3 linked regions of the Mus musculus genome follow. The protein of the gene in region 1 interacts with the protein of each later gene in a biochemical or structural test. Links are inferred from orthologs where the notes say so. Each region holds a gene or a part of one and is shown on either strand. Other genes may lie near its edges. The genes, in order: Trim25, Zc3hav1 and Ddx58.

Evidence for each region.
Region 2: of the proteins of Trim25 (region 1) and Zc3hav1, one has a biochemical effect on the other in vitro, tested with the Homo sapiens proteins (2 studies listed by BioGRID). The link is inferred for Mus musculus from reciprocal best matches to the Homo sapiens genes TRIM25 and ZC3HAV1.
Region 3: of the proteins of Trim25 (region 1) and Ddx58, one has a biochemical effect on the other in vitro, tested with the Homo sapiens proteins (5 studies listed by BioGRID, with this or other methods). The link is inferred for Mus musculus from reciprocal best matches to the Homo sapiens genes TRIM25 and RIGI.

Annotation. Positions count from the first base shown.
Region 1 is NC_000077.6:88,993,782-89,004,601, forward strand, and holds the start of Trim25 (E3 ubiquitin/ISG15 ligase TRIM25), read left to right. Parts: upstream 1-5,621; 5' UTR 5,622-5,707; coding exon 5,708-6,301; intron 6,302-10,820.
Region 2 is NC_000072.6:38,331,057-38,341,131, reverse strand, and holds part of Zc3hav1 (zinc finger CCCH-type antiviral protein 1), read left to right. Parts: intron 1-776; coding exon 777-912; intron 913-4,467; coding exon 4,468-4,720; intron 4,721-7,943; coding exon 7,944-8,990; intron 8,991-9,270; coding exon 9,271-9,369; intron 9,370-10,075.
Region 3 is NC_000070.6:40,218,481-40,228,555, reverse strand, and holds part of Ddx58 (antiviral innate immune response receptor RIG-I), read left to right. Parts: intron 1-442; coding exon 443-590; intron 591-1,836; coding exon 1,837-1,959; intron 1,960-2,850; coding exon 2,851-2,958; intron 2,959-3,362; coding exon 3,363-3,516; intron 3,517-4,499; coding exon 4,500-4,758; intron 4,759-6,358; coding exon 6,359-6,521; intron 6,522-8,052; coding exon 8,053-8,157; intron 8,158-10,075.

The sequences.
Region 1 (10,820 bases):
TCTCGAGAGGTGGAACCCTTTGAAGGCCTGAGTGTTACTCACGGAGGAAGGGTGTAGCTTCCTCTAGCCTTGAGTAGGCTGGCTTTGACCTAGCCACTGAGTATGAGACCACCTGGGGTGGAGCCTTCCAACTTATAAGGCTCTATTGTTCTGTCACCTGCTGCTGCTCTTCTCTAAGACACTGGTACCTGCTGGGAGGCCCTTGAGATATTCCGGAGACAGCATCCAGTAGATCTACCTACAGGCTGGCGACAGGCACCAAGAATGGATTGGCGGGGGATGGGCCTCCCCCCTTTATAAGCACAGACTTTTAGTAAACTTTGTGGGGGCCTTGAACAGAAACATGTCGTGGCCTCCATCATTTCTCTCGCCGTTTCCTTCCATACAGCTCCAGCCTCCCACTCAGGAATCCAGTTAGTGTGGCTGCAGGCAGCTACAGGTGGTTACAGGAGGGTACCCCATACTGACAGGCTTCCAGAGGCGTGGTGAGGTTTTGCTCGGCCAGGCATGCCTGCTACTATGTGCTTCTGCAGGACAGACTGGAAGGAAGGCGACCAATTGATCATAAAGTAGCACCCCAAAAAAGTCAGGGTTCACCCTTTCCTGTTACTCTGTCATCCCTGGTATTCATCATCATCATGAGATGCTGACTAACATAATCTCTGTAAAAAAAGAGCAATTCCTGACTGTGGTTATAACTCAATCTCGTGCTTGCCTAAAACACACAAAACCCTAGGTTTGATCCCCAACGTTACACAAATTGAGTGTGGTGGCACATGCCTATAGTTAGTACTTTGGAGGTGGAGGGGGAAGGGTCAGATGTTCAAGGTCATGCTCAGCTATATAGCATAGTCATTTTGGGCTGCAGGAGACCCCGTTTAAAAAAGGAAAAAAAAAAGAGGAAGAGGAAAAAGAAAGAAAAAAAGGAGGGTAAGCCTCCAGGATGGGTCATCAGATGAAGGCGATTGTAGCCAAGGCTGACAGCCTGAGTTCTGTCCACGGAATCCACATTGGAAAGGAATCGTCTTCCTCAGGTTCTCCTCTCACCTTTACATGGACACACACTCGCGAGCACACACAGACACACACACACAGACACACACACACACACACACACACAATTTAATTTGTTTGTTTGTTTGTTTTTCGAGACAGGGTTTCTCTGTGTATCCCTGGCTGTCCTGGAACTCACTTTGTAGACCAGGCTGGTCTCGAACTCAGAAATCGGCCTGCCTCTGCCTCCCAAGTGCTGGGATTAAACAAATACCACCATGCCCGGCACAATATAATTTTAAAAATGAAGCTGGGAGGTGGTGGCGCACGCCTTTAATCCCAGCACTTGGGAGGCAGAGGCAGGCGGATTTCTGAGTTCGAGGCCAGCCTGGTCTACAGAGTGAGTTCCAGGACAGCCAGGGCTATACAGAGAAGCCCTGTCTTGAAAAACCAAAATAAATAAATAAATGTTAAGAAAAATGAGCAAATCAAATCCAGCAATATATAAAATGATAATACACATGCCCTTTGGTTGTCCCAGGAGGTTGGGAGTACATTCCATTCATACAGTGGGGATGCTAGCCAAATAAGGCAGAAAAGCCCTCCGGATCAGTGCTGATTAAACCAACGAGAGTTTCTCCATCAAAACACGATCGTAGTATGGGAATAAAAAGAGAAGCTTCTTAGATGTCTTTACATTTATTTTATGGTTAGGAATAACCTTGGCAGAAGCCGGAGGAATTTGAGGTTAGTCTGGGCTATATAATGAGGATCTTTTTCAAAATCTGGAGACAGTAGGAGATTGTTTTTAAATGTTTCCAGGCATAGATATGACAGCACATTTAAAAACAACAACAACAACAACCAAACAAAATTAAAAAACAAAAAAACAAACAGCCTGAGCTAAGAGACCTAGATTCTGGGACCTTCTCCCATCTGGAGCTCAGGCTGAGTCTGTTACAAGCCTATTGCATAGTGGGTCTTTGGTCATTTGAGCCTACACACAGTAGGCCTCTGGCTCCCCCACCCCCACCCTTAACCTTTGATCTGCACACATTCCTGCACTAAGCTACATCCCCAGCCTCTCTGGCTCTCTCTCAGCTGAGGATCAGCATCCTTCACAAGGGTGTGTTGGAACTATAGCTCAAGTTTAATGAGGGCTGCCCCGATGGATGGGAATAATCGGTGTTATATTTACAGGTAAATGAGGCTTGTTCCTCCACCTACTTTTCCTATCCTCTAGACTCAGAGCAGGAATCCTATTATGATTGCCAGCCATCACCTGGATCAGGCCAGGTATTTAGTCCTCTCTTGACCAACCAGGTCCCATTTGGCTGTGCAACATTGCTGGACGGAAGATATCAGCTATATCAAAAAACAAACACACCCTGCCAGCCGATCCCTGGTCTCCCATCAGCGGATCCCAGTAAAGGTTATGGGCCATCCTGCGCATTACCACCTGCCATGTGTGTATATAAACTAAAAGGTGGGGGAGATGTGTGGGGCTCCGGGCTTCACAGATGAGAAACCCATGCCTCCCGGGACACTCTACTTCAATGATCTCTGTATTAGAAGGCAGATCTGTTTGCCTCAGACTCCTTCAGCTCTTGCTCTGTAGCACACCTACCGTGTAATAGGTCTTTGTGACTATCTCCCCCTTGGAATTTGATAAACACGGAGCGTGCTCGGCTCTCCAAATGATCGTCATTGTCCAACCAGCCTTTCTCAACGATTCAGCCTAGAAAGAGAATTCCACATTTCCCCTTGAGTCACCAGACTCCTCCACCCACGATAATTAGGTTAGAGGTGGATTCTATACTGTTCATTTCCTGGAAACTGTCTCCTCCCTCCCTTGGCAGGCAGACAGGCAGGCAGCATTTTGTAGTAGGAAATACTTGCCTTCTGGAACCAGATAGGGCGTGTGCCAGCATCCATTGTCTTGGCTGGATTGCTTGGCTTCTCTAAGCCTTTTTGTTTCTTTTTTCTCTGTAAAGTGGGATGGTTTTATCTACTTCACAGGTTGTGGTAAGGACTCCCAGCCTTCCACCCCAGCAGAATGTTTTCTTCTTTTTCCATGCAGACAACTACCACCACCAAAATACGAACCAGAATAGATGGGATGATAAGTCTTGTGGAAACAGAAGTCCATGTGATGAAACTTAGGGGAACCAGCGCTTAGGATGTTATGCTGGGCAGCCCCAAGCTCATCCCAGCTCCTTTGTAACAGTATCCTGACCTTCACAATAAAAATGGATGTAGGATGCCCCTCTTAGGGCTTCGTAAAGGTGTCTTGGTAATATTCTCCATTTGTTTGGCACACAGTAGGTGCCTCATAAACAATGGCTATTAGATACTATGAGATATTTACCTTGTCCTTTTGGCTGCTTAACATTGTCATCCAAGGTAAACTCCCATAATCCCTCAAGGAGCTTCTTTCCCACAGTGGAATTTCCCATCAGACACTCGGATTCTCCTGTCCACCCTTCTGTTCTGCACTCAGCCCAGATTGCAGGACTGCCTTACAGAACTAAAAACAATGTAAGCCTAAATGAATGATTTTGAAAAAAAAAAATTGAAGCTTCAATATTGTGTGTGAAGGGGGCTGTCGAGATGGCTCAGTGGTTAATAGCGCCAACTGCTCTTCTGAAGGTCCCAAGTTCAAATCCCAGCAACCACATGGTGGCTCACAACTATCCGTAATGAGATCTGGCGCCCTCTTCTGGAGTGTCTGAGGACAGCTACAGTGTACTTACATATAATAAATAAATAAATCTTTTTAAAAAAATTGTGTGTGAAGGCTGGAGAGATGACTCAGCAGTTAAGAGCACTGACTGCTCTTCCAGAGGTCCTGAGTTCAATTCCCAGCAACCACATGGTGGCTCACAACCATCCGTAATGGGATATAATACCCCTCTTATGGTTTGTCTGAAGACAGCTACAATGTACATAATATAAATAAATCTTTTTTTAAAAAATACTGTATGTGCACATATAAGAGAGAAAACATTTGTTAAATTTGGGAGTCCCCAAATCCCAAGTGAGTAAAAATTTCTCTTTTTTTTTTTTTCAGTATTGAAAATTGCTAGGCAAAGGACTTTACCACCAAGCTATATTCCCAGACCCTTATTACTTAAGTGAGGGTAGGGTGGGTTCTATGTAGCCCAGGCTGGCCTTGAATTTGAGTTCCTCCTGCTTCAGTCTCCCCAGAGAGAGTTCTGGGATAATAGGTGTGTCCCACCTCACCCAATTTAAAAGTATTATAACCAATCTGGCTTAGATGAAGAAATTCTTAAGAGACACTTGTGTCTCAATCTGTTACATTATTGAAACAGTGAACCCCAGAGAAATGGGAGTTTCCTTGGAATCTCATGCTGGGAGAGACCAGAGGGAGAATTTGTCTCCTGGGAAAAGATTTCACAGTTAGTACAGCTTGTGGGACAGAACAGCTTACCAAATGAGATTGAATCCCAGACAATGATGGGCCACTGGTAGGCTGGACCAGGTCTGGACTGGCACTTAGATACAAATATTTTTGCCTTCTGTTTTAACTCTGTTCTCACTTCAGAACGGGGAAGGTGGACTTGAGGGGTTTGCTGGGTCTCTTTTTTCTGTTTTCCTCTTTTAAGTAGGCTCATTTAATTGGCTTAAGGACCGGTGGCTGGAGCTGACTTGGGGCAAAAGTTGTGACACCCAACTTTTGTAATATTAGGTTTTGTTGTTGTTGTTTTAAAGATCATCTACCATAAAAGGAACACCAGATCTGAATGGATGACCATAGGGTCCTGCCTTTAGGGCTTGGGAGGAGATTTGTCAGAGCCCACCATCAGGAAAGAAGAGGGAGCTGCATACAAAGGCAGCACAGCTGGAGGGAAGGGGAAGGGAGGGGGAAGGGAAGGGGAAGGGAGGGGGAAGGGAAGGGGAAGGGAGGGGGAACGGAGCGGGAAGGGAAGGGGAAGACAGCCACAGTCCATAGAATTGTGTTTTGTTTCTTTTCTTTTCCTTAAATTATTATGTGTATGTTATTGGGGGAGGGGGGTGTCAATTTTGTGCAGTCTTAACCAGGGTTTTAGTAATTGTGTTTAGGTCTCATATTCTGTTGTACAGCCATCTCCCCAACCCTATTTTTAGATGTTGAGACGGCCACTAACTCTCTAGCCCGGTCTGACATCGAACTCACGGCAATCCTGTTGCCTCAGCCTCCTAAGTGACTAAATTACGGGCACGAGCCACCAAGCTCTGGGTCAACAGTATTTTGTTCTGTTTGGCTTTGAGTTTTAATAAGACCGGTCCTGTTCTGGAGGGATGATTGGTGACACCTCGGGGACACAGATGAATGTTCTCCAAAGCTCTGCTGCACTGTGCTAGGACGTAGGCCCCGACCAGGAGGGTGGGAATATTCCAGCCCCTGCGACAATTCATCTGCAGAGTGCCTCTGAAACTGCACCTGGTAGCCCTTGGGTCGTGCGTCGCTCGGGTCCGCGGGGTGTGGAGAGCATCAGAGTTCCCCAGGTCCCATAATCACCTTTGGCTTCCAGCACCAGGAGGGAAGCCTCCCGCCCACTGTCCGGCCCCCAGGGACCCACGTGACTTCCTGAAGCCCCAGGGCGCCGCCCCTCCTGTTCAGTTTCGATTCCTTCCTCGCTGCTTCTTAAGTACCGCGCGGTAGGGTGCGCAGCTGTCCCTGCGCGTCACGTCGGGTGAGCCCACGAGCGCGATGGCGGAGCTGAATCCTCTGGCCGAGGAGCTGTCCTGCTCCGTCTGCCTGGAGCTCTTCAAGGAACCTGTCACCACTCCGTGCGGCCACAATTTCTGCATGTCATGCCTGGATGAGACGTGGGTCGTCCAGGGCCCGCCGTACCGATGCCCGCAATGTCGCAAAGTGTACCAGGTGCGCCCGCAGCTGCAAAAGAACACGGTAATGTGCGCGGTGGTGGAGCAGTTCCTGCAGGCCGAGCAGGCGCGGACCCCGGTGGACGACTGGACGCCTCCTGCCCGCTTCTCCGCCTCCAGCGCAGCCACCCAGGTGGCCTGCGACCACTGCCTGACGGAGATCGCAGTGAAGACGTGCCTCGTGTGCATGGCCTCTTTCTGCCAGGAGCACTTGAGGCCTCACTTCGACAGTCCGGCCTTCCAGGATCACCCCCTACAGTCGCCCATTCGTGACCTTCTGCGCCGCAAATGTACCCAGCACAACCGCCTTCGGGAATTGTTTTGTCCCGAGCATGGCGAGTGCATCTGCCATATCTGCTTGGTAGAGCACAAGACCTGCTCCCCTACGACCCTAAGTCAAGCCAGCGCCGACCTGGAGGTAGGGAGTGGCTGGTTGAGGGTATAGAGGACAGCTTGGATCAGCTGAATTGTGGAGAGGCCATCCTGGGTATCCCTGTAGTACAGTGGGTTGCTAGAGGAGATAGGCTTTGCTGGGCCAGAGATCCCATTCCTTCACAGACCTCATGGCCTTAGGCTCCGTGGGCCGCAGTCTGGGAGTTGGGCAGTAGGAAGCCATCCCCACAGACCAAACAAGTAGATTTTATATAGCCTCCCGCTCATCCATTATCGCCTGCCTTCTCCAGCCCTCTTAGTTCTATTTTACATAGAGCACAACGGAAGGCACAGGTAAGAGTGCCTGCCCCAAGTCTGTGTTTGTCCAGTGGAGTTCAGTAGTTTTGAATATTAACCAGGAACCCTGGGGGTTACCTCTCCAACCCCTTCAGATCCTGGCAGCACGAAAGGGCTGTGTCTGTTTAGTTCATTCCACAGCTCAGGGCTGTGTCTGTTTAGTTCAGGAAAACAGGCCCAGAGAAATTAGCTTAGCAGGAACCAGGCTGCTTTGAGTCACAGCTTCTGGTTTCCTTTTTCCCTGTAGACCACAGATCTGTTGAGTCCAGAGCATGGAGCAGTCTTGGAAGCTTGAGGTTAAGGGTAACAGAAGCCTCTGTTGAGGAGGGTGTGAATGGATAGTGAGTGTGAACACAGAGCCTCAGAAATCCCTGCTTGTGACTTTGGCACTGTGGTATAGCCCTTTTTTGGTTGTTTTTAAGACTGTCTCACTATGTAGTCTTAGCTGTTCTGGAGCTTGCTATATTGACCAGGCTGGCTTTGAACTCATGGAGACCTGCCTGCCTCTGCCTCCCAAGTGCTGAGACTAAACGCACGCGCTCAGTTGGTGTAGTCCATCTTGCTGTGTGAAAATTGAGCAGGGCCTGGCGTGGTGGCGCATGCCTTTGATCCCAGCACTCGGGAGGCAGAGGCAGGTGGATTTCTGAGTTCGAGGCTAGCCTGGTCTACAGAGTGAGTTCCAGGACAGCTGAAGCTATATAGAGAAACCCTGTCTCGAAAAACCAAAAAAAAAAAAAAAAGAAAGAAAGAAAAGAAAAAAGAAATTGAGCAGGAATTGGGCCTCTGGACCTGGGTCCGCCTTGCTAAAGACTGGAAGCGTGTGTCAGGGAGTCAGGGTTCCTAATGGCCTTGTGGGGTTGCAATGATTTTAGTGGCTTTAGAGGTCCCCCCCCCATTACAGACTCAAAGCAGTTGTTGCCTCTCTTCGGTACATTTGTCAAAGTGTGATCTGATCTCCTTTCTCTCTCAAACGTCTGAGAACTTGAGGCCTGTCCCAACATTGTGGAAGGAATTGGAAACCTGGGTGAGGTTGGCAAGCCTTGCTGTGTGGTGCCAAGATCTCAGCTCCGCTCCCTCCTCCTGCCACAGCCCTTCCCTGGCCTTGCCTGCCTGTCTGGGTCTTAGTCAGGTCCCTTAGAATGTCTTCCCTCTGATTCTTGGCACCTGTATCTACAGGTAACATCTTTAGAGTTCTCTTCAGTATACCCCATGTGGGTACGGGGTACGGATACCTCCAAGTCTAGCTGTTCTGGGAGAAAGTCTGCCCCGCCTTTGGTGCTTTTGTCTTTGCTACCACCAGAGCTAGCTGTTTGGCTTGGGGCAAGACCCTACAGATCTCTGGGTAGGTCAAGAGCCACCAGGGAAGTGCCGCAGAGGCAGGATCCGGTGTCAGGAGGCTTGGCACTTAAGAGGTCCCTCCCAGATTCAGTGCCAAGATCTTGGTTTAAATTGTGACCCCCAGCAGTAGCTTCCAGCTACAGAAGAATAAAATGGGGAACATGATGGTCTCCAGTTACAGTGAGGGCTGGTGAGATGGCTCAGTGGGTAAGAGCACCCGACTGCTCTTCCGAAGGTCTGGAGTTCAAATCCCAGCAACCACATGGTGGCTCACAACCATCTGTAACAAGATCTGACTCCCTCTTCTGGAGTGTCTGAAGACAGCTACAGTGTACTTACATATAATAAATAAATAAATCTTAAAAAAAAAAAAAAAAAAAGGCATGCTCCAGTTACAGTGAACCTTGGGTGAAGTGAAGCTGGTGTAGTGGCTCATGCCTGTAATTCCAGCCCTTGGGAGGCTTAGGCAGATAAATCATGAGTTTGAGGCCAGCTTGGACTACATCGTTTCAGGTCAGCTACAGGGTGAGACTCTTGTCTCAGAAAGACAACCACAAATAACCAGTGGCCAAGGAGGTGGCTTGGCTGGTAAAGGGACTTGTTACCAAGGCTCTGGCCTGAGTTTGATCTCTGGGACCAATGGTAAAAAGAGAACCAACTCCAGCAAGCTGGTCTTTGACTCGACAATCCGTATGCATGTGATCGTGTGTGTGTGTGTGTGTGTGTGTGTACGTGTACACACAACTAAATGAATGTAATAAAAGAAGCGAAAGTGGATAAGTCAACTCTCTGCAAGATTTCCATGTAAGTTACTACCTACCGGTTCTATTATTGGGCTTGGGCACCCTGGTCTGTGCTCTGGGGCAGCCCCAGGCAGGACAAAGTGTCCAGATTGGTCTCTGTCCCAGTCAAGTGGACTTGCCATCAATCCCTGTAGTAGTACCCTGCTGTATAAGTACATATTTACCAAGGCAGAAGTAAGTGGGGGCATGAGGGGCCTCCCCAGCCAGGAGTGAGCGGCCATTCCTGCTGACTTTTTAATCCCGATACCAGGATTCCTCCTGCCAACCTCCTGCCCATATGTTTTTCAACCCAGCTGCTGTTCTTCCTGTCTCAGTGCCAGACCCTGGCAAGCGTGCTCAGTCTTGAGTATCACGGCTACTAGTTTGGGGGTGCAGACTCAGGATTCCCCTCTCTCCCCCGTGGAGGACCCAGGTCCTTGGTCTGCCACAAGCTCTCCCAGGCTTCCCAGAGTTCTGTATCCTTGACCAGTCCTCAAGCTGCCTCTCTTTGATTTGGAGTGGGGTGCAGTGGACCCCCATCCACAATGAGGGGACTGTTATCTGTGTTTGCTTAATGGTGGATAACCTTTTTAGTGTGGAGGGCTCATAGTGCACTCAATTCTGGAATTGAGTCAGTTGCTAGCACCCGTATGTTTCTTCCAGCCCGGGAGGTAGTTCTGCCTGGATTTGCCCTTTGACCCAAATCTATCTCCGCCACTGTTGGAGACCTGAGGTGGGGGAAGGGTTGTGTCAAAGAGATTGAGCCAAACATCACTGATCTGGGCTTTCTGGCTACAGTTTGCGCAGCCTTGATCTCTGTATCCGGCCCTTAACGAGTGCCAGTGGATGGTGCAAATCCAGCCCCAAGGTTAGGTCCAGCTCTGATGGAGTAGAGGAAGCAGGAAAGTAGAAGAGAGAGCTACTGTGTGTTGAGCTGCTTCATTAGGGGAAGGAAATGCTATTATAATATTTTTTTTTTTGTAGAAATTCCTAGCACACACAGTTTGGTCACTTGTTTATAAATTTAGTACCATTGTTAGTAACCTGTGCCAGTTACTAACAATGTGGTCTTGGCTGAGTCGCCTGATTCCTCGACATCCTTCTGTCGTGTCTGAGTGATGTCTACTTTTCCGTGTTGCTCTAGAAGTAGTAGGTGTCAGGTGCTGGCAGAGTGTGTGAGCCCTTCATGACAGCCCTCATGACTGATGGTGGAGTGTCCCTTCTCATCTCTGTATGGCACCGATCTATCTTAGCAGGGACATAGGAAACTTGCTCCTGGAGGTGGCTGAGAGCCAGACAGTTTTGAATCAGTGTAGTTCTTTCAAGCCCCAGTGGCCAGCTTACCCTGATTCTCAGCCCTCAGTGGCCCTGGCCTGGGGTGGCCAAGTACAGTTGTGCATTTGTCCCTGCCTTGCTGGAGGTGACAAAGCCTCACCCAGCTTCCTTCCCCCTCCTGGAAGTCTCCCCTGGGGAGGACAGCCTTGGGTGTTGGGCTCCTTCGTTGGGTCCCCTTCTGGAAATGCCAAGGCTTTCTTAGTTCTCCAGCACCTTTGATATTTTGTCTACTTTCAAGGCTGTTTGCTGTGGTAGGGTGAGCGACCTCACCCTGCCGTTACAGAATCAGCTGTTCCAGATTGTTACGTCTCTGTGAGCTGGGCCACTTGCTGTCCCCCTTGCTTGGATTTCATGAGCTGTAAAATGAGTAGGAGAAAAAGAAATGTATTAGAATAGAAGCTGACATTTAGTATTGACAGATCCTCCAGGCAGGGCTCTGAGCACAGTCCTTGGTTAGTCTTCCTGATTGTCCCTGTAGCTGCTTAACCAAACCAGTGGTTTCTGTTCATGGCCAAAGAAAGAGACAGAAGACATATGGCTGGGAACAGGCTTTCAAACAAACAGGGTCATTTTGGTTCCAAGTCTTTTTTTTTTTTTTTTTTTTTTTTTGGTTTTTCGAGACAGGGTCTCTCTATATAGCTTCGGCTGTCCTGGAACTCACTCTGTAGACCAGGCTGGCCTCAAACTCAGAAATCCACCTGCCTCTGCCTCCAAAGTGCTAGGATTAAAGGTGTGGGCCACCACGCCCAGCTG
Region 2 (10,075 bases), on another chromosome or scaffold:
CCCTGTTGTTGTTTGTTGTTTAAAGTATATATTTGTGTATGTGCAATCAAACTGAGGTCACTGGGTTTGTTGGCAAACATTTACCATTACCCAGGATGTCATCTGGCTGGGCCAGTGGACCTCATAAAATTGTATTCTTTCTGTAGGATTGATTAGTCTGTGTTAATTACCAAAGGATACAGCATTTGATCTTTGCTGAGTGAAAGTTTAGTGAACTTTTCCTTTTTAATCTACTTCACACATGCTAAGCAGGTGGTCTACCACTGAAGTTGAACTCAGTCTTTTAGGCTGGCGTATGGAATGATGGATTTCAGTATGGTGTTTTCACATCTCCATGCCCTGCCGGTTTGTTCCCTTCTCCCAAGGCCCTTCCCTGCTCCCCTGCACCCTCTTGGTACCCTCCCCCTTTTTAAAAGATTTATTTTATGTATGTGAGTATGCTATTGCTCTCTTCAGACACACTAGAAGAGGGCATCAGATCCCATTTATGGTGGTTGTGAGCCACCATGTGGTTGCTGGGAATTGAACTCAGGACCTCTGGAAGAGCAGTCGGTGCTCTTAACTGCAGGGCCATCTCTCCAACTCAGTAAACCCTTTCTTCTTCCCAGTAATTCCTTCTGTGTCCTCTTTTCTTCTCCCCCTTTGCTTAGAACTCGAGATGCCTGCCGTCCCTCTCCCGGCCCTCTTTCTACCCCCATGCCGTGTGAATATGGCTGTCTTCTTTCTCATTTCCGCTGTGACGTGCAAACATTGACAGTTGTCCTCTGTCCTTCCAGGAACCTCTGCAAATATTCTCACGATGTTCTCTCGGAACAGAACTTCCAGGTCCTGAAGAATCATGAGCTCTCCGGGCTTAACCAAGAGGAGCTGGCGGTCCTCCTGGTCCAAAGCGACCCTTTCTTCATGCCTGAGGTAGGTCCTGGTTCTCACTTTAAACACCAGGCAAGAGTATTATGTGCAAGCCAGACGTGCTGGTGCACACCTTTAAACCCAGCACTCTTGGGAGGCAGAGGCAGGCAGATCTATATGAGTTTGAGGCTAGCCTTGTCTATGTAATAAGTTCCAGGCCAGCCAAGGCTACCTGGTGAGACCCTGTCTGAACAAATGAAAGAAGAATTTGGGTCCACATGGCTGCCAGGGATTCCACTGTGAACAAAGATGGCTTGAAGACGTGGCGGTAGCTGGACTGCCTGAGGCTTAACATCAGGGTAGCCTTGGAATTGAAGCTGGATGCCTGAAAGATGCAGGCACAGATTGTGTCACTGTGCCAGAGACTCCTACTGTAAATTCAGTGATAAAGAAAATATACTTTAAGCTTTTTACTCCTTGATAGCCTCATCAAGGACCAGTAGGCTACAGCCCAGAAGCCAAACCTAGTCCAGAAATAAAAGTCTAGTGGAACACAGCCGTGCAGATGAGTTTACAGGTTTTCTGTTTCTGTTTCCCCCTCCAGGGGTCAGGTGAGTAGTTGCAACAGAGACTGACTGGCCAGAAGAGCCTAAATTGTTGACTGTGGATTGTTACAGAAGTACGGTGCCTCTGGGTCCTGTGTGGATGCGGGCAGGCAGATATGCCGCAGGGTTGGGAAGAGGGTCCAACACCTTTTTGCAAGACTCATGTTAGTGAGTTACGAGCCCTGTTGTCTTCGGAATGTGGCTTTCATCTCTTAGTACAGGGATTTCTGTCACCACTTTTTAGTCAGTGGGATTGTAGAAGGGAAGTTGAAGCCAAGCAGTTTACCCTTTTGAAAACTGGACACTGTGTGTAGCACATCTGCTCACATCTCATTGGCCAGTGCTAATCACATGGTCATATTAGTTGAAAGTGGGGCTGAGAAATGTAGTTGCTGGCGGAGTGGCTGCCTGTCAAGGACTTCTATTACTAGAGGAAAGACAGATGATGGAAGATAATGAAGTCTTATTTGCATAGGCTTATAGAGTGGAGAGTCAGTTGATGTTGCTCAAAGGACCATGCATGACCCGAGAAAAGCCCTTGAGTGGAGAATCCCTGAGTGTACCCACAATACAAAGTCATTAGCAGTCTCACACAGAATGGGAGACTGAGCAGGAGCAACGCCGAAAGGGGCAGAAGACAGACAGGGAGGCAGAGCAATACAGGAAGAGATGGAAGGGTAGAAGAGATATGAAGCTGCCAAGAAGGTTGGAGTTCTGTTAGATAAGACAAGCTAGCCAATGGAGATTTCTTGAGGATTGACCATTTGGGGGCATTTAAAAACTCTGGCACAACAGGTGATTTTTGAGGTGTCCACTGAGCTCTGAAGGCAGGGCGTTGTGTAGCTTGAACACATAGAGATCCACCTGCCTCTGCCTTCCTAGTTGGGGTTAAAGGTATACCCCACCTCACCTGCTCTTTGTTTTATTAGAGACACGAGCACCCTATGTAGCCCAGGCTAGCCTCAAACAGACATACTTTCTCCACTTCTTGAGGGCTCATAGTAGTAGACACGTACTATTATGCTTGGTGTACCTGCTACTGGGAATTGAACCCAGGGCCTGTGTTACAAGCCAGCTCCTGGATTCCTCTATGTGTCCAGGTGATGCTCATGGTTCAGACACCTCACTTTAAGAACTGTGGTCTAGAATTAGATTCGGTAGCACTTATGCGCTGAAGTCTGGTTCTAGAGGCTCTGTCACTATTCCTGGGGTCAGCCTTTGTCTCTGCATCCAGACTCATTCCCAGTTCATACAGCCTATTGAACTAAACACCTTCATCTTTCAGCTGCCTGCAAGGTGAGGCTAATGACTAATCATTTTCTTCACCTAGTGGCTCAGACACCTGCCTCAGACTTCTTACTTTGCACAATACAGTCTTATACTTTGTCACGCCGCCTCCCAACAGATGTTAGGCAGGCAGACAGAACAAATATTTTCCTTCTGCTGTCGAAAAGGAAACAGAAACTAGAAGGTCACTGGGACCGGGAGGTTACCCAGCTGCTTCTAGGGCCTTGACTTTAAAGCAGTCTCTGTTAGCCCTGTAGCCACATGATCTGATTGCACCATCCCTGGATTTTACTCCAGCTCTGTAGAGCTATGTGTGCAGATGTGTTTGTTTAGAATACTGTAACTGGGGGCTGGAGAGATGGCTCAGCGGTTAAGAGCACTGACTGCTCTTCTAAAGGTCCCGAGTTCAAATCCCAGCAACCATGTGGTGGCTCACAACCATCCGTAATGAGACCTGATGCCCTCTTCTGGGTGTCTGAAGACAGCTACAGTGTGCTTATATATAATAAATAAATTAAAAAAAAAATAGAACACTGGAACCTTCCTAACACTGTGCCCCTTTAATGCAGTTCCTTGTGTTGTGGGTGACCCCCAACCATCAAATTATTTCATTGCTACATCATAACTGCACTTTTGCTGCTGTTATGAATCTTACCCTGCTATTTGACCCCCAAAGGGAGTCTAGATAGTGGGTAAGGATTTCCTTACTGAGTTGGTTATGGTGGTGTGTGCCTGCAATCCCAGCACTTGGGAGGTCAGGGAAGCAGGATTATGAGTTGAAATCTAGTCTGTGCTACATGAGTCCTCGTGTCCAAAACCTGAAAGCAAGGCTGAGCAGCACAGTGGTGCGCACCTTTCATTCTGGCTAACAAACAAAAACCAAGTGGGGAGGAGTGTGCACACCTTTATCCCAGTTCCTGGGAGGCAGAGGCAGGTGGATGTCTTCATAGGTCAAGGAAGGCTGGAGAGATGACTCAAAGGTTAAGAGGGCCTGAGTTCAAGTCCCAGCAACCACTTGTAGTCATCCATACGGTGATATGATGCCCTCTTCTGGCCTGCAGCCACACATGCAGGCAGAGCGCTGTAAGCATAATAAATAAATAAATAAATAAATAAATAAATAAATAAATAAATCTCTTTTTTTTTAAAAGAGTTCATCACCCTACTTCTTCCCTCTCTCCCACCCCTCACATACAAAATCATTTGAACAGGTCCTATTCTGGCTATCAGAGACAAATGACAAAATCCCAAAGTTGCAAATAACACACACACACTTTTTTTTCCTTTCAACGGTAGAGTAAGTTAAGATCCAAATTAGACTTCCTCTTTGGGGCTCCCTTATGATGTCCTGTGTACAGCTTGCCATGTGAGTTTGATTCTCCCAGGAATTATCAAATTCATCACTATTTTTCTCCTTTAAGTTTCCTTTCTTTTAAATGCAAGGTTTCTGCACTGCATTTGTGATCCTCTTTGCCTCGGCCTCCTGAACACTGGGTTACAGGTATGCACCATCATACGTGATATTGTCTGTTAATTCTTTCGACTCTTCTGTCCCCAAATAAGTCACCAGTTGAAGCCATCTCATCAGCCTTGGGTGTTGCGTGCATTGTTTCCCCCATGGCTCTCCTGGGTTGTTTTTTTTGGGGGGGGGGGCTGCACCCTTAACTGGTGGTGTGGCAGCCAGGTCCAGGTGTTCTTGCCTCATGGTTCTTTCTTTCTTCTCTAGATATGCAAGAGTTACAAAGGAGAGGGCCGCAAACAGATCTGCGGGCAGCCGCAGCCCTGCGAGAGACTCCACATCTGTGAGCACTTCACCCGGGGCAACTGCAGTTACCTCAACTGTCTCAGGTCTCATAACCTGATGGACAGGAAGGTGTTGGCCATCATGAGGGAGCATGGGCTGAGTTCTGATGTGGTCCAGAACATCCAGGATATCTGCAACAACAAACACACTCGGAGGAACCCCCCTAGCATGAGAGGTATGCCCTTTCCCTTTTAACTGTGTGAATTTGCAAATGTACAGAAACCACAGTGGGGCATAGTGACACACACCTTTCATCCTAGCACTCAGGAGGCAGAGGCAGGAGGATTTCTGAGTTCGAAGCCAGCCTGATCTACAGAGTGAGCTCTGGGACAGCCAGGGCTACACAGAGAAATCTCATCTCAAAAAACAAGCAAGCCAGCAAACACAAACAGAAGGAAAACTGCAAGAAATCTGCCTGTAAAATCTCAACTTCACTATCTGCATGCACCACTTTAATACAATTGAAACAATGATGTGTATGCAGTTTTACAAGTGGCTCTATCCCCTCATTTTAAAAGAGCTTATTATAGTCTGGTGGTGGTGGCACACACTTTTATATAACATACCGGCACTCAGGAGGCAGAGGCAGGTAGATCTCTGAGATGGACACCAGCTTGTTCTATGGAGCTAGTTCCAGGACATCCAGGGCTACAGAGAGAAACCCTGTCTTCAAAAAAAAAAAAAAAAAGTTTGCTTGGGGGTGGGACATGTGTGCATCAGTTAATTCCAGGGCTTTGGAGACAGAGGCTAGCCTCAGGAAACTCTAGCTTGTGTCAAGTTGACATAATAAGACTGGCCAGCATGACTGTATTACTTATTATTTTGTGTGTGTATATACAGCCATATGTGTGGAGGTCAGAGGTCAACTTCAGGAGCTCTCTTTCCCCAGACTAACCCCAAGTCATTCAGGCTTGGTGGCAGGCACTTTTATCCACTGAGCCATCTCACTGGCTCTTCTTGTCTAGTGGACGCAGTAGAAGCCAAGTTTATGAAGGGGGTAGAATCTCTGACTCTAGGATCTGCAGTGAAGCAATGAAAAGCTACGTCTCCTGGTACTTAGTCTACAGAAGACTTTGCCCCAGAATCTGTCATCATTACTCCTCACAGCGAAACTGTGATCAATGGCGGGTTTATTACTCATTAACTTCACCTAGGGTAAGGAAAGGAGTGTTATAAGTCCTAAGCAGCTTTAACTCATGCTTGGAAGACCAAACAGTACTGTGAAGATGAAATCAAAAGCCGTGCTTGTGACCCGAGCACAGGAATGCAGCTTCCACACCACAGTGCCCTGAACAGAGAGTGACTGTAGAGGTGGGTTTGTGAGCTCTTCACAGCGTGCGGGAGAGAGCTGCATATCATTGTTACTTCTAGTTAAGCTATGTAGTTAGACATCATGACGGGGGAGTAACTAAGCTAGCTCAGGCAGTCAACGGGTTCTCCAGGTCGGGAGTGAGGGTTAAAAAAGACAGTTAGACAACACTGTAGCATGACCCCAGCCAGTTCTGAGACTAAAGGCGAGTTTATTTTTTTCCAGTCTGCTTTTATATCATTCTGGGTACATACAAAGAATATGGTCAGTCCTTAAGGCGTAGACAAAGTAGTCAAGGAACAAGCAGGGCAAAAATCAAGGCAATAAACAGAGGTCACTGTGTCTAGGGGTTTATCAGGATGGTCCAGATCCAAAGAACACGTTCTTCATCTGTATTTGCCTTGAGCCTACTTCATTGTCCCAGCCTGATATCAAATTCCTACCAAACTCCTAGAAGCAGCCCCAAAAGCTCTCCACAGGGGAGCCTTGCTTTTGCCACAATACTGTTGTCCCCTTTCCTCTACCAGGATAATACACACATGTTCCTCATAAGCAAACAGACCCTACTGCACCTCCACCCCCAGCTTTCAAATGCCTTTCCACAACAGACGTCACCTACGTAGGTACCACGCCAGACTTCACACACTGGGTCACTCCTGTCTTCTCTGCTTCCCAGACTTTTCTAGAGAAAAGATGCTGCTTTATCAGCGTCTCCGGATTTTTTTTCTCCCTTCAATATATATACAATGTAGGGCAGGCTAGCCTAGAACTTGCTGTGTAGCCAAGGCTGGACTCCTGTCTTAGCATCCTAAGCACTGGGATTATAGGCATGATCCACCCCGTCTGCCTTCAATTTCAGCTTTTCATAAGTTTAGGCACTTGTGGTAAATATTTTGGTTTTTGGTTTTTGGTTTTTGGTTTTTCGAGACAGGGTTTCTCTGTATAGTCCTGGCTGTCCTGGAACTCACTCTGACCAGGCTGGCCTCGAACTCAGAAATTCGCCTGCCTCTGCCTCCCGAGTGCTGGGATTAAAGGCGTACGCCACCACGCCCGGTGTGGTAAATATTAATTGGGTGTTTCTACCCCACCTTAAGTCATTTAGTTTCCAAATACAAAGCCTTTATATTTATAATAATCCTTTAAAGCACGAGAGCTGGGCAGATATCAACGCTCTGTGCTATTTTGTCTATTTCCCTGTCAATAATCCTGAACTATCACTTGCCATGTTCCACCTGGGCTGCCTCTGCTCCATCAGGCCGTCCCTCGCGGCCATGTGCTCATGATCCACCTACCCCATGGTACCTTCTTCCTCCTCTCCCCTCTCCCCTCTCCCCTCTCCCCTCTCCCCTCTCCCCTCTCCCCTCTCCCTTCTCCCTTCTCTCCTTTCTCTTCTCAGTCTCTACTCAGAAGCCAAGCCTGGGAAGCTAAGCCCCGCCTACCTCTCTTCAGCCAAGCTGTAAGCATCTTTATTCAAACAATAGTTTCAAATTAAGGATTAAGGTTTTGCACAACAAAAGCTGGCATCTGTGAGAATTCCCTGTCTTGAGACAACTAGACCATTACAGTACATAGATAGCAACAGCCCTAGCCTCAAGAGGCGCTAAGGGAGCTAGAGGAAGAAGCCTGGAGAGTTTGTGGCTTAGACGAAGGCTTAGCTTGAACCTGCAGCCATTTACCATTTGGTTTCAGTGTTAGAAGTGCCTGTTCCAGAACCCAGATCGGAATGCGTGACGTCTCCATGAGTCGTGGACATGTTTCTCTCACTGGCTACATTTCAGCTGTCATTCGCTGTAGTAATGACCGTTAACTCAGAACTAGAGTCTGGAGACACCCCACCTGGGGTCTTGGGGACTGGAGGGCTCACTGAGTCCCAGGAGAGGCCAGAGGAGCTTTGGAGTCCTCCCTTGTCTGAGCCACCCACACGCTGCTGTTGTGGACTCTGCCAGGTTGCAGCTTCGTCCTAAGATTCGCAGCCACCACTTAGGAAACTCCTATGATAGAACTCAGCTACAGGGCTGGACAAGCAGAGAGAACATGGAGGTAGGAACTAACCCGAGCTTGAATTTTCTCTCTGGGTTTCTCTTTCCAGCTCCCCACCCACATCGCAGAGGCGGGGCACACAGGGACAGAAGCAAAAGCAGAGACCGCTTCCATCACAACAGTCTAGAGGTTCTCTCAACGGTCTCACCTCTGGGATCTGGTCCCCCTAGCCCAGATGTCACCGGCTGTAAGGATCCCCTGGAGGATGTGTCTGCAGATGTCACCCAGAAGTTCAAGTACCTGGGGACTCAGGACCGTGCACAGCTTTCCTCCGTCTCATCTAAGGCCGCTGGTGTCCGAGGACCCAGTCAAATGAGAGCAAGCCAGGAGTTTTTGGAGGATGGGGATCCAGATGGCTTGTTTTCTAGGAATCGTTCTGATTCGTCCACAAGTCGAACCTCTGCTGCTGGCTTTCCTCTCGTTGCGGCACAAAGAAATGAAGCTGGGGCCATGAAAATGGGCATGCCTTCAGGACACCACGTCGAGGTCAAGGGCAAGAACGAGGACATTGATCGCGTCCCGTTTTTAAATAGTTATATTGATGGGGTAACAATGGAAGAAGCAACAGTCTCAGGAATTCTAGGTAAAAGGGCCACAGACAACGGTCTGGAAGAAATGATACTATCTAGCAACCATCAGAAGAGTGTGGCTAAGACCCAGGATCCCCAGACCGCTGGCAGAATCACTGACAGTGGCCAAGACACGGCATTCCTGCATAGTAAATATGAAGAAAACCCAGCGTGGCCAGGTACATCTACCCATAACGGCCCAAATGGCTTTAGTCAAATTATGGATGAAACGCCTAATGTCTCTAAAAGTAGTCCCACTGGTTTTGGCATAAAATCAGCAGTCACTGGAGGAAAAGAAGCAGTCTATTCTGGAGTTCAGAGTCTGAGAAGCCATGTCCTGGCTATGCCTGGGGAGACCACTACTCCTGTACAGGGCAGCAATAGGCTGCCTCCGTCACCTCTGTCTTCTTCCACAAGCCACAGAGTTGCAGCCTCTGGGAGCCCTGGCAAGAGCTCCACCCATGCCTCTGTGAGCCCAGCCAGTGAGCCCTCGAGGATGATGATGATGATGTCAGACCCTGCTGAGTGTAAGTCGCCTAGGGGACTCCCTGGGCTTGAGTGCATAGGGAAAGACAAACACAACACCACGGCACTGAATCGCCTACCTGAGAACTGTAATCATTTCATACCCAGAAGTCTCCGGTGCCCTGGTGTCCATGATTCATAAAACAGAGGGGCTGAGCAGGCTCTCCAGAGCACCCCGAATCCAGGGAGGCACATGAATGTGGACCCCATGGACGACATCTTCTTCACTGTGAGGCCAGGGTCCTCACTTCTGGCATACACACATCCTCTTTTGTTTTGCAGATTCCCTATGCTACATCGTAAATCCTGTATCTCCTAGGATGGATGATCATGGCCTGAAGGAAATCTGTCTGGATCATCTGTACAGGGGCTGTCAGCAGGGTAAGTTGCAAATCTCCGTAGGATGCCTTTAGCCACTGTGGGTACTGCTGCTGTGAGCATGGCGCACGCCAGTACTTACTGGAGACCGTGCTGTTGCTTTTGAGTGATCTAATGAATTGGATCATAGGGTAAATAAATCTGTTTGATTTTTAGAGAAGATTTTTCCATTGTAGCTTAGCTATTTTTCTAACCCTTCCTCCTATACTCCCTCTTTCCTCTTGCTGTCTCTTGAGTCTTTTTTTAAAAAACTTTTATAATATCATATATATATAATATTATATAATTATATATGTATAGTGCAATTTTTAAAAATATTTTTATTACATGTCTTCCTCAATTACATTTCCAATGTTATCCCAAAAGTCCCCCATGCCCTCCCCCCCACTTCCCTACCCACCCATTCCCATTTTTTTGGCCCTGGCGTTCCCCTGTACTGGGGCATATACAGTTTGCGTGTCCAATGGGCCTCTCTATAGTGCAATTTTTTTAAAAAAAATTTATTTATTTTATGTATGTGAGTACAATGTCACTCTCTTCAGACACACCAGAAGAGGGCATCGGACCCCATTATAGATGGTTGTGAGCCACCATGTGGTTGCTGGGAATTGAACTCAGGACCTCTGGAAGAGCAGACAGTGCTCTTAACTGCTGAGCCATCTCTCCAGCCCCATAATACACTTTTTATTTTCATAAACACACCTATTAC
Region 3 (10,075 bases), on another chromosome or scaffold:
TATGTCAGCTTGATGCATAGCAGTCTATGCACAATGCATTTCAGTTATCATTAGAAAGAAAAGTCATAGAACATCTGCTTAGAAAAGAGACCTGCTGCTGTGCTGTTAGGCATTTCCAAATGGCTCTGTGTGCCGATACATCCTTAGGGTGAATGGTTAGCGTCTGGGTTAACGCTTTTACCCCAGGATTGCTCTTGGTCAGGGATATAAGGATTCAGAAGATGAGAACATTTGCCTTGGCATATTGATAACACATTATAAAGGACAAAGGTGAAGAAAGGAATATCTTAAAAGCTAGTGCTGGACAGGGCAAAAAGATGATGCTAACTAAGCCCTACTCAACTATACTTCACAGTGATTTCAATCAGATACCGCTTCCACAAAAGCTTGCCAGAGGAAAGGCTGAGCTGCCTGATCAGTGTGCTGCATTTGTCTCCCCCAGATCCGAGACACTAAAGGGAGAATGGCAGGTGCGGAGAAGATGGCCGAATGTCTTATCAGATCCGACAAGGAAAACTGGCCAAAGGTCTTGCAACTTGCTTTGGAGAAAGACAACAGCAAGTTTAGTGAATTGTGGATTGTTGATAAAGGTGGGGTGCTCCAAGAAAGAACCCTGGACCCTGCTGCGCTCCTCCCAGTTCTCCCCACTTTACTTTCCATCAGAGGCGCTGTTCACTTCAGATACCAAAGGCTATATCCCTAGGATACAAGCAGTGGAAAGCTGAATTCTGGGAGGAAGGGAACTACATGGCATGGAATTAACCCGACCAGGTCAAAGAATCTAGGGAAGGCTTCCAGCCCCAATTTGTTATCAGAGAAATAGCTTGAGAATTCTAGACCTAAAGGTTCAAACTGCAAGACTTACCTCCCTATCAGAGCAGAGGCTGAGTGTTGGGGGTGATAGCTATGGACTGGTGCTCTTGCCCGGAAGCCATCTGGACTCCGACAGAGCAAGAGTAAACGAAGATTTTCTGTGTTTAAGCCAACCTCATTTGGCTTCCGGAAACTCACTTCTTGCTTTAAACAGACCTTGATAAATACCTGAGTTTCTAGTTTCCTTTCTCACCTAGATTTCCTTAGAACATAAATTATTCCAGAAACTCTCTACATCGTTGGTCAGAGATGGAATCCTGTCTCTTTAGTGTGCTCAGGAATGACGCCCCTGCGTTATTGGCGTGAGTTCCGGAGTGGGGAGGGGCTCCGGATGCAAACTGCTGAGAGCCCCGGGTTCCACACTTGGAGTCGCGTAGTTCCAGATGAAACTGGAATTCAATTGCCAAGTTGAGCTTCAAACTCAGAATAATCCTTGCAGTTGTTTTAAGCCGTCAAAGTGGGGCTCTCTAGATGGCTCAGTGGATAAGGTTCCTGCCACTGATCCTGAAGACCCAAATTCAACGTCCAGGGCCTACATGATAGAACCAATCCCCAAACAGTGTCCTCATCCCTCGGCACACTCACTGTGTCGTGTGTGACACACACAGTAAACAAATCCATTTCAAAAATAAATAAAATGTTAAGAAAGTGCAAGACCGTGATTGTAAGAGCTCAACGGAAATTTAGATGTTTAGTGTTAGTGTTAGGACTTTTTGGGACTTCCCCAACCAAAACCATAATCACATTGCGCATGCTTTTAATCCCAGCACTCAGGAGGCAGAGGCAGGTGGATTTCTGAGTTCGAGGCCAGCCTGGTCTACAGAGTGAGTTCCAGGACAGCCAGGGCTATACAGAGAAACCCTGCCTCGACCACCACCCCCTTCCAAAAAAAAAAAAAAAAGATTCTAAGCTGTAAGCTGTTATTTGTGTTTATGATTGTTTGCTTGCCTGTTTATCACAAAGGTTTCAAAAGGGCTGAAAGCAAGGCTGATGAGGATGATGGAGCGGAGGCGTCCAGCATCCAGATTTTCATTCAGGAAGAGCCAGAGTGTCAGAATCTCAGTCAGAATCCCGGGCCTCCTTCAGGTACCAAGCATCGTTTGCTCTCATCCATGATGGTGTCCCCCAGCACTTTGATGCCCTTTGAAAAAAAGTCTTTTTAAAGGATGATTAAGAAAAGAAAGAATTTGTGGGGCAATAGGGACTTCATAATTAGAATCCCTGCTCCTGTCTTCCATGGCCTCTGCATGGCCTTCAACCCTCCCCCTCCTCTCCCCTCCCCTCCCCCTCCCTCCAGTATGTATGCCTTCATCTGTACCGTGTTCCCAGAACTTCAGTGTCCATGACTTCTCAAAGCAGCCTTGCTCTCTAAAGAACACTTCTGCTCACTAAGCAATGGCTTTGAGAATCTGGGCTGACAGCTGGTTTTCCTCGGCTGTTTTTGATGATCTGTTCTTACTTTGTTCCAAGTGGCTTTGTTTTGAATTAGGCCATTCTTGCTGTCCTTTTTCTTGATAAAGTTTCCACGATTAAGAAAGAATTCATGGGGCTGGAGAGATAGATGGTTCAGCGTTTAAGAGCACCGACTGTTCTTTCAGAGATCCCGAGTTCAATTCCTAGCAACCACATAGTGACTCCAGCGTCTGGGTTAATGTTTTTACCCCATCTGTAATGGGCTCTGGTGTACTCTTCTGGTGTGTCAGAGGACAGCGACAATGTGTATATTCATATACATTAAATAATAAATAAATCTTCAAAGAGAAAAGAAGGAAGGAAGAAGTAACAGAGAGAGAGAGAGAGAGAGAGAGAGAGAGAGAGAGAGAGAGAGAGAGAGAGAGAACACACTTTGGCCAAGATCCCAAACCTCAAACAGGGGCATTGTTGCTAGAGTCAGAACTCATGTCCACTGAATGGCAGTTGCACCATGATTCCTTGTAGCATGAACCCTTCGATAACTTTGTCCCCTCTATATTACAGAAGCGTCTTCTAATAATTTACACAGCCCATTGAAACCAAGAAATTACCAACTGGAGCTTGCCCTGCCTGCCAAGAAAGGGAAAAATACAATAATATGTGCCCCTACTGGTAAGTCAGTTGCTGTCACTCACAGAACTCTCTGGCTTCGCTTTTTCTTCCCCCTTTGGGGGCTGTAAAAGGAGGAGTTTTCCCCGTGGCCCATGCTGCCCATGGGAGAGCTGGTCTAGCAGCTTAAGGAACCTGGACAGCGATAAGGAGGGAGATAAGTGTCTTCTTTAGTTTGCTTTTGGTTCTTGCTACCTGAGTGCACGTTACTTAGGAAGTAGCTTGGCACTTTTCAGCCATTGTTTAAACTGTCATTGTTAGTGCGGAGGAGGGATTATTAGTTTATTTGTATCCCAGTGGTCATAGAGAAGCCAAAATAAGTACCATTCTGGAAAAACAGCTAACACAGGTTATCTGTTGGTTTTTTTTTCTTTTCTTTTTTTTTCTTTTTTCTTCCCTACTAAAAGGTTGTGGAAAAACCTTTGTGTCGCTTCTTATATGTGAACACCATCTTAAAAAATTCCCATGTGGACAAAAAGGGAAAGTGGTCTTCTTCGCTAACCAAATTCCTGTCTATGAGCAGCAGGCAACTGTGTTCTCACGATATTTTGAAAGACTTGGGTATGTACTACTACAATCAATCTAACTGCTTTGATTTTTGGTTTTTGTTTTGTTTATGTTTGTATTTTAAATTCTAGCCCCTTTGGCTGGTTTTGGGGGCTTTGTTGTGTCTGGTTTTGGGGGCTTTGTTGTGTCTGGTTTTGGGGGCTTTGTTGTGTCTGGTTTTGGGGGCTTTGTTGTGTGTTTTCTGAGACAGTGTATCACGTAGCCTTGAGTTGTCTCCAACCCACTGTGTAGCTGAGGTTGGCCTAGAAGAGATGATCTTCTTGCTTCTACAAGTGCTGAGATTACAGTGTGCACTGGCATGCCTGGCTGTTCTCTGATTTTCTTTCTTTTTTTTTTTTTTAAGATTTATTTATTTATTATATGTAAGTACACTGTAGCTGTCTTCAGACACTCCAGAAGAGGGCATCAGATCTCATTATGGGTGGTTGTGAGCCACCATGTGGTTGCTGGGATTTGAACTTCGGACCTTCGGAAGAGCAGTCAGGTGCTCTTACCCACTGAGCCATCTCACCAGCCCTCTCTGATTTTCAAAGCTATGATTAAAGGAAAATCGCCATGGACTTAACTTTTAGAGGTAGTTCCTTTGTGCAATAACATTTTTGGTTTAACTTTACCAGAAATGCTAAGCCCTCATGTCATGCTCTGACAGTTAATGAACTTGGTGGCCAAATTTAACATGTAGGCGATACACAGGTCATCCTTAATGATGTTATACTTGATTGGCTATTACTCTTTTCAAAATCATTTCTCTCTTAATGACTTGAAAGAATAAATACACTGTGATCAGCTATAACCTCTTGCATTTCCTGACTCCCCGGCTTTGTGTCAGGCCTGTGAGAAAGTTCAAGGTACTACCCAGTTGTACTCTTTTGGGCTTGGGCTGACTTCTTTAATTGCTGCTCTGACCTAGACTTCTACTTTGTCTCCTTGTTCATTCACATCAAGGTTGATGATAAGGGATTTCTGTCATTCCCCAGGTACAACATTGCGAGCATTTCTGGGGCAACATCTGATAGCGTCTCAGTGCAGCACATCATTGAAGACAATGATATCATCATCCTGACACCCCAGATTCTTGTGAACAATCTCAACAACGGAGCCATCCCCTCGTTGTCTGTCTTCACTCTGATGATATTTGATGAGTGTCATAACACTAGCAAAAACCACCCATACAATCAGATCATGTTCAGATACCTAGACCACAAACTTGGAGAGTCACGGGACCCACTGCCTCAGGTATTTCCAATCTTCTAAGAAGAACCACAGTTTTTCAGAGTCCCACTTAGTTGCTCTTTTGTAGCCACATTTGAGCTTGCCCTCCTCGGGGTCTCAGTCCATCGGTACAACTCAGTGGTCAATGTTGGTTCATTCATTTGACCAACAGTTGTCCCTTGGTGTCCAGGGTAGATGCCCTTCACAAAAAACAAAATCTAGGCTGCTTAAGTCTCTTGTATGAGATGACATTGCATTTATATATAATCTACACACTTTCCTCTTGCATACTTTAAATCTTCTCTAGATTACTGATATTGTACAGTATGATGAAAATTTTATATAAATAGTTCTAGTACTGTAATTTTTAGGGAATAAAGGTGGGAAATTCATACATGTTTAGTACTTATGAAGTTTTAAAAAATATTTTTGATCCATGGTTGTATGAATTCACATTTATATAACCTCTGGATTTGGAGGGCCAGCTGTATAAACCATGGGCTTCCATGGACCTTGTGCATTGTTCTAGGCTCTGGGACACCAATACAGAAGATATAGTCCTGGCTCTCATACAGTTAAGTTTGCAGGGAGCCAGGAACATAGTAGTCACAGCTTATCATGAGGTATGCTGCAGAGACAGGTAAAGGGTGTTGTCAGAACATAAGGGGTAATAAGGCATAGAAATGAAGGGAACTGACAGGGGCTTGCCAGGTAGATAGCTTCTGGTTTCTAGTAAGAGGGTGCTGTGTGTCCAGGGGCTCAGGGAAATGGAAGGGCCTGACATGCCCCAGAACCTTAAAACTCTACAGTATCACTTGAGGGTAGAGTGTGAAGCAGGGAACAACAGTCAAGCTGATTGTTATGACAGATGACCCAGAGACACCAGGAGGGCAGAGCGTCAGTGGGCAAGTGGATGGCTTAGCACAGGGAACAAGCAGCAGCCTTCTGATGTCATATGAGAAGAGTCACTTCAGAGTCATTCTTACATGTGACAAGAGGAGTACAAATTCTCCTTCTGTCTATCATAGGAGAGGGGGTGCTTTGCTGAAAGTCAACGATATAGAAACAGGAGGGGGCTAGAGAGGATGAGGACGGTTTGACTCAGGCACTGATAGATGCAATAAAGAATGACGGTAGTGTATCTATCAGGGGCCCCAAGAAGCTGTAAACCATGAATTATATACAATTCTTTTGCTCCAACAATAACCTTTTTAGGACGTGCAGGTTAAAGGACATTTAGTACAGGACCCACAGTTTGTTATTCTCGAGTATCGTTGCTAGGAAGCAGATTTCTTACCGTCCAGCTAATCATTTAGGTGAATGCTTACTGAAGGGTGTTATCATACTGAATCTACACAGCTCTCTTGTACACGACTCACTGATTGTTGAAGGTATTTGTCCAGGCGCACAAAATGCATGTGATATGAATGAGCCTGGAATGGACTTTTTCTTCCCATTGTGATGTTTAGTAAGAGACTGGGGGATAAAAAAAACAGGGTAGCCCTGCCTGGAAAGGTTTCCTCTCTGTTCTGGATGACACGCTAGATTTATTTCCGAGCTTTGCTCCAGGGGGGTCTTTGTGCTGGAGAATGTCAGAGAGCCAGTGGTGGGGTGCTCCTTACAGGTCGTTGGGCTGACTGCCTCCGTCGGCGTTGGAGATGCTAAGACCGCGGAGGAAGCCATGCAACATATCTGTAAACTCTGTGCCGCCCTGGATGCCTCCGTGATTGCCACAGTCAGAGACAACGTTGCAGAACTGGAACAGGTCGTTTATAAGCCCCAGAAAAGTAAGTGGAGGTCAGCAGCCCACACCTCGCGACTTTGTAACCTTCTGTCCCCTCTGCGTCAGAGACAGTGGATGAAGTTTGATGCTGTATTTGTTTGGTAAAAGCATAGTGGTTACATTGCCTATCTTTCTCCCTAGTCAACCTCTTCTCCCTAGCGACGCATGAGTCTCAAAGGTAGCCAGAAAGGGACAAACATCCCTACTCTTTACCAGCAGCTGAGTGAAGGAGGCAGTGGGAAGATTCAAGCATTTTGAAAGCCTCAATAGCTAGTGGCGGAATCAGGTCTCTGTGCTCCGGGCCCTAGGCAGGGGCTATGTGGCCATCTTGTTCTTGTATGTATCTGATCATTGTAGTGGCATGACCCGAATCATGACAGTTCAAAAGGCCAGAACATGTTTTTAAAATGAGCTTCATTAGAAGATGGTTATTACTTATTAACTACCTGTGTAAGCAGGGAGGTACCGTAGTTACCCACGGCTGGATCTTGGCCTGAGCACTCGTTCTGTGAGTTGACAGCAGGATCAATGGCAGGGTCAATGGCAGGATGAGCAATGGGGGGGTGGGGGTTGGGATGGCACAACCCTGGTTCTTTCTGAGAGTCCCCCGTGGAGAGTGTGAAGAAGGTGCCTCCCCACCCACGCCCACCCCTTAGCAACACTCAAGGGTTTTTCTACAGTTTGAGCCCTTGGAGCTTAGTCTACTTCAAAGTCATTTTGTGTCACTTTCTCCGTCTATGCAAACCCTCTACGAGCTATTCTGAGGGTGTGTCCCAGCTCCTGCGCGCCTTCCTTTTTCCCTTATTATTCATCTTGCGGCAGCTTCCCCGGAGAGAATGAGGTTTCCTCCCCTCTTTGAGAGATGCCTTCCTGGCCTGCACCTGCTTCCCAGGGCTCTGATGGGCGGGTTTAGGAGCACACCTTTGTTTCCTTTAAGGAGTGGGTGGGTTGGGGAGCAGGGGGAGGGGGGAGGGAGGGGATAGGGGGTTTTTGGAGGGGAAACCAGGAAAGGGAATAACATTTGAAATGTAAATAACGAAAATATCTTTAAAGAAAAGAAAAGAAAAGGAAAGAAAGAAAGAACCTGCCTTCTGTGCAGCATAGGGTAGCTCTTGTCAGCTCTCTGTCACTGAAACAGGACATGTGACAGGCAGTTCTTTTTCTGCCAAAAGTACACAAATGTGAACGATAAGCTCAATGGGGGCACTCTTGGGGGCTCGGAGGTGCGCAGGAGAATAGGAAATCAGGAAAACGGGGCTGGAGTATGGTATTTGCCGAAACCAGAAGGCTGCCAGACCTGCCACAGTAGAGGCACCAGGAAAGCTGACTGAGACGCTGGCTTAGACTAGACCAGGAGAGACACTAGAATCAGAAGCAGTTCCGAGGTCAGAGGCTTCTGACCGCCTGCTGTGATTTGGGCCACGTGAGCTTGGAGCCTGTGGCTTTAAAGGACTTACCCAGGATGGAGCAGCTTCGGGAAATGGCTGCATAGGACCTGGGTTTCCTTCAGCTTACTCACATGCCTTTGACCCCAGTTTCCAGGAAAGTGGCATCCCGGACTTCGAACACGTTTAAATGCATCATCTCTCAGCTGATGAAGGAGACAGAGAAGCTAGCCAAGGATGTCTCCGAGGAACTTGGTAAGCCTGTGCCAAGTCCTGGAGAGAGAAATCTCATGTTTCCTGTCCCTTCCATTTAGAGGTACTCATGGATTGCTCGTTAGTGTCTTCAGTTTTGGGTGAGATTATACTCAGAGGTGGACTGACTTATTTATTCACACATATTTCTTTCTGTCTCTGTATCTTCTTTATCTCTTCATTCTTTTTTGCCATCATTTTTTTCTCCATTCCTTTTTAAAAAGATTTATTTTTATTTGATATGTGTAGATGTTTTTGTCTGCATGTATGTATGTATATCACATGTATCAGATACCCGGGAACTGGAGTTACAGACAGTTGTGAGCTACCACATCTGCTGGGAATCGAACCCATGTCCTCTAGAAGGGTAGCTGGTGCGCATAACCACTGAGGAGCCCCCATTTCTCTAGCTGTTTTTAAGACAAGGTTTTTTTCCCTGTGTCCCTGGTTGGCCTGAAACTTGCTATGAAGACAAGGCTGGCTTTGAACTTGCAGGGGTCCCCTTGCTTCAGCTTCTGAGTCCTGGGGTCTCTGGCAAGCGCCACCATACCTGGCTCAGATATAGACTTTCTTAATCCTAGGTTGTTTAGGAACCTTATAGGAGTTCTTTAATTCTCTCTTGCCTTTTTCTTTTTAAATACAAAACACATCCACCTGGACATACATACCTGAGAAATACTGTCTTTAAATCATCTTCTAAATTTCCTTTCTTCCTTTTTTTCCCCTCTTGAGATAGAATCTCTGTGTTCAGTGTAGGCTGGCCTTGAACTGGGAACTCTGCCCCTCCTCCTCCTCCTCCTCCTCCCAAGATGTGCATCATCACTGAGCTGCCATTAGAGTGCCATTGTCCCTTCCAAGAGCAGTTCCCCCAGTGACCTAACACTCTCTCACTGTCCTCAGCTCTTGAAAGTGTCACCACCTCCTAACCTCACACACTGAGGACCAACCAGCCTTTTGCCACATGAGCATCCAGAAGGCACTTAGACAGTAGCTAAGGCACAGCACTGGGGGAGGAGTTTGAATAATGAATCCACTATGGGTCCTAAAGTAGTAGGGTAGCAAGCATGCTCTCTCCTCTAGAGTTTTGGAAACTCTCTGTAAGGTAAAGAGTAAAGAGACCAGGTAGTCAGTACATGGCTCACCTAGGAACAAGATAACATGGTCTGACTAAAGTGGTGGATGGACAGACGGACAGGAATAGAGTTGTATGACTTACTTTTTTGTTTTGTTTTTGTTTTTAAAACAGTCTGTCTGTATAGCTCTGACTGTCCTGGAACTCTCTTTGCTGGCCTCAAACTCACAGAGATCTGCCTGCCTCTGCCTCCGGAGGCATTCACACTTTAGAATCTTTTCCCACCTCCTCACATTGAGTATCTGTCAATAGCTGCCTCACTTCTTCTGGAACTTGGACGTTTTTCATTGTGAACTGGGTGTGGTGGCACCATCTCTACTCCCAGCAGCTGGGAGCCTGAGTCTGAGGCCAGCTTAGGCTACATACTGAGCTCCTGTCCTTGGGGCGGAGGCTGGGAAGAACTTGTCACTGTTTCTTGTTGGTACCCGTCCTGTGTTCTGTTATTGCAAATGTGAGGGAAGCCATTTAACACACAAATGCATTTCACTTCTTTGAACTGTACTGTGCTTGTCTCAAGAAGCCCAGGACACAAAACAATAGAGCAAGCATCTGGGGCTGTTCCCACTTCGCCTTTCCCCCCCTACCCACACCAATCTTCCCCTGAGTCTGAATCGCTGTGAATCCCACAGTAGAACCAAGCAGTCAAGACATGCACATGCGCACACAGATGCTTCCGGGATAACTGTGTTTGACTCCGCCTTGTGGTTGGTGCTGCAAGTGCTGCTCTGAGATCAGGTGTTTGGGCTTCATAGCAACATAGAGCATGCTGGGAAGGGTCCTGGTGCTCCC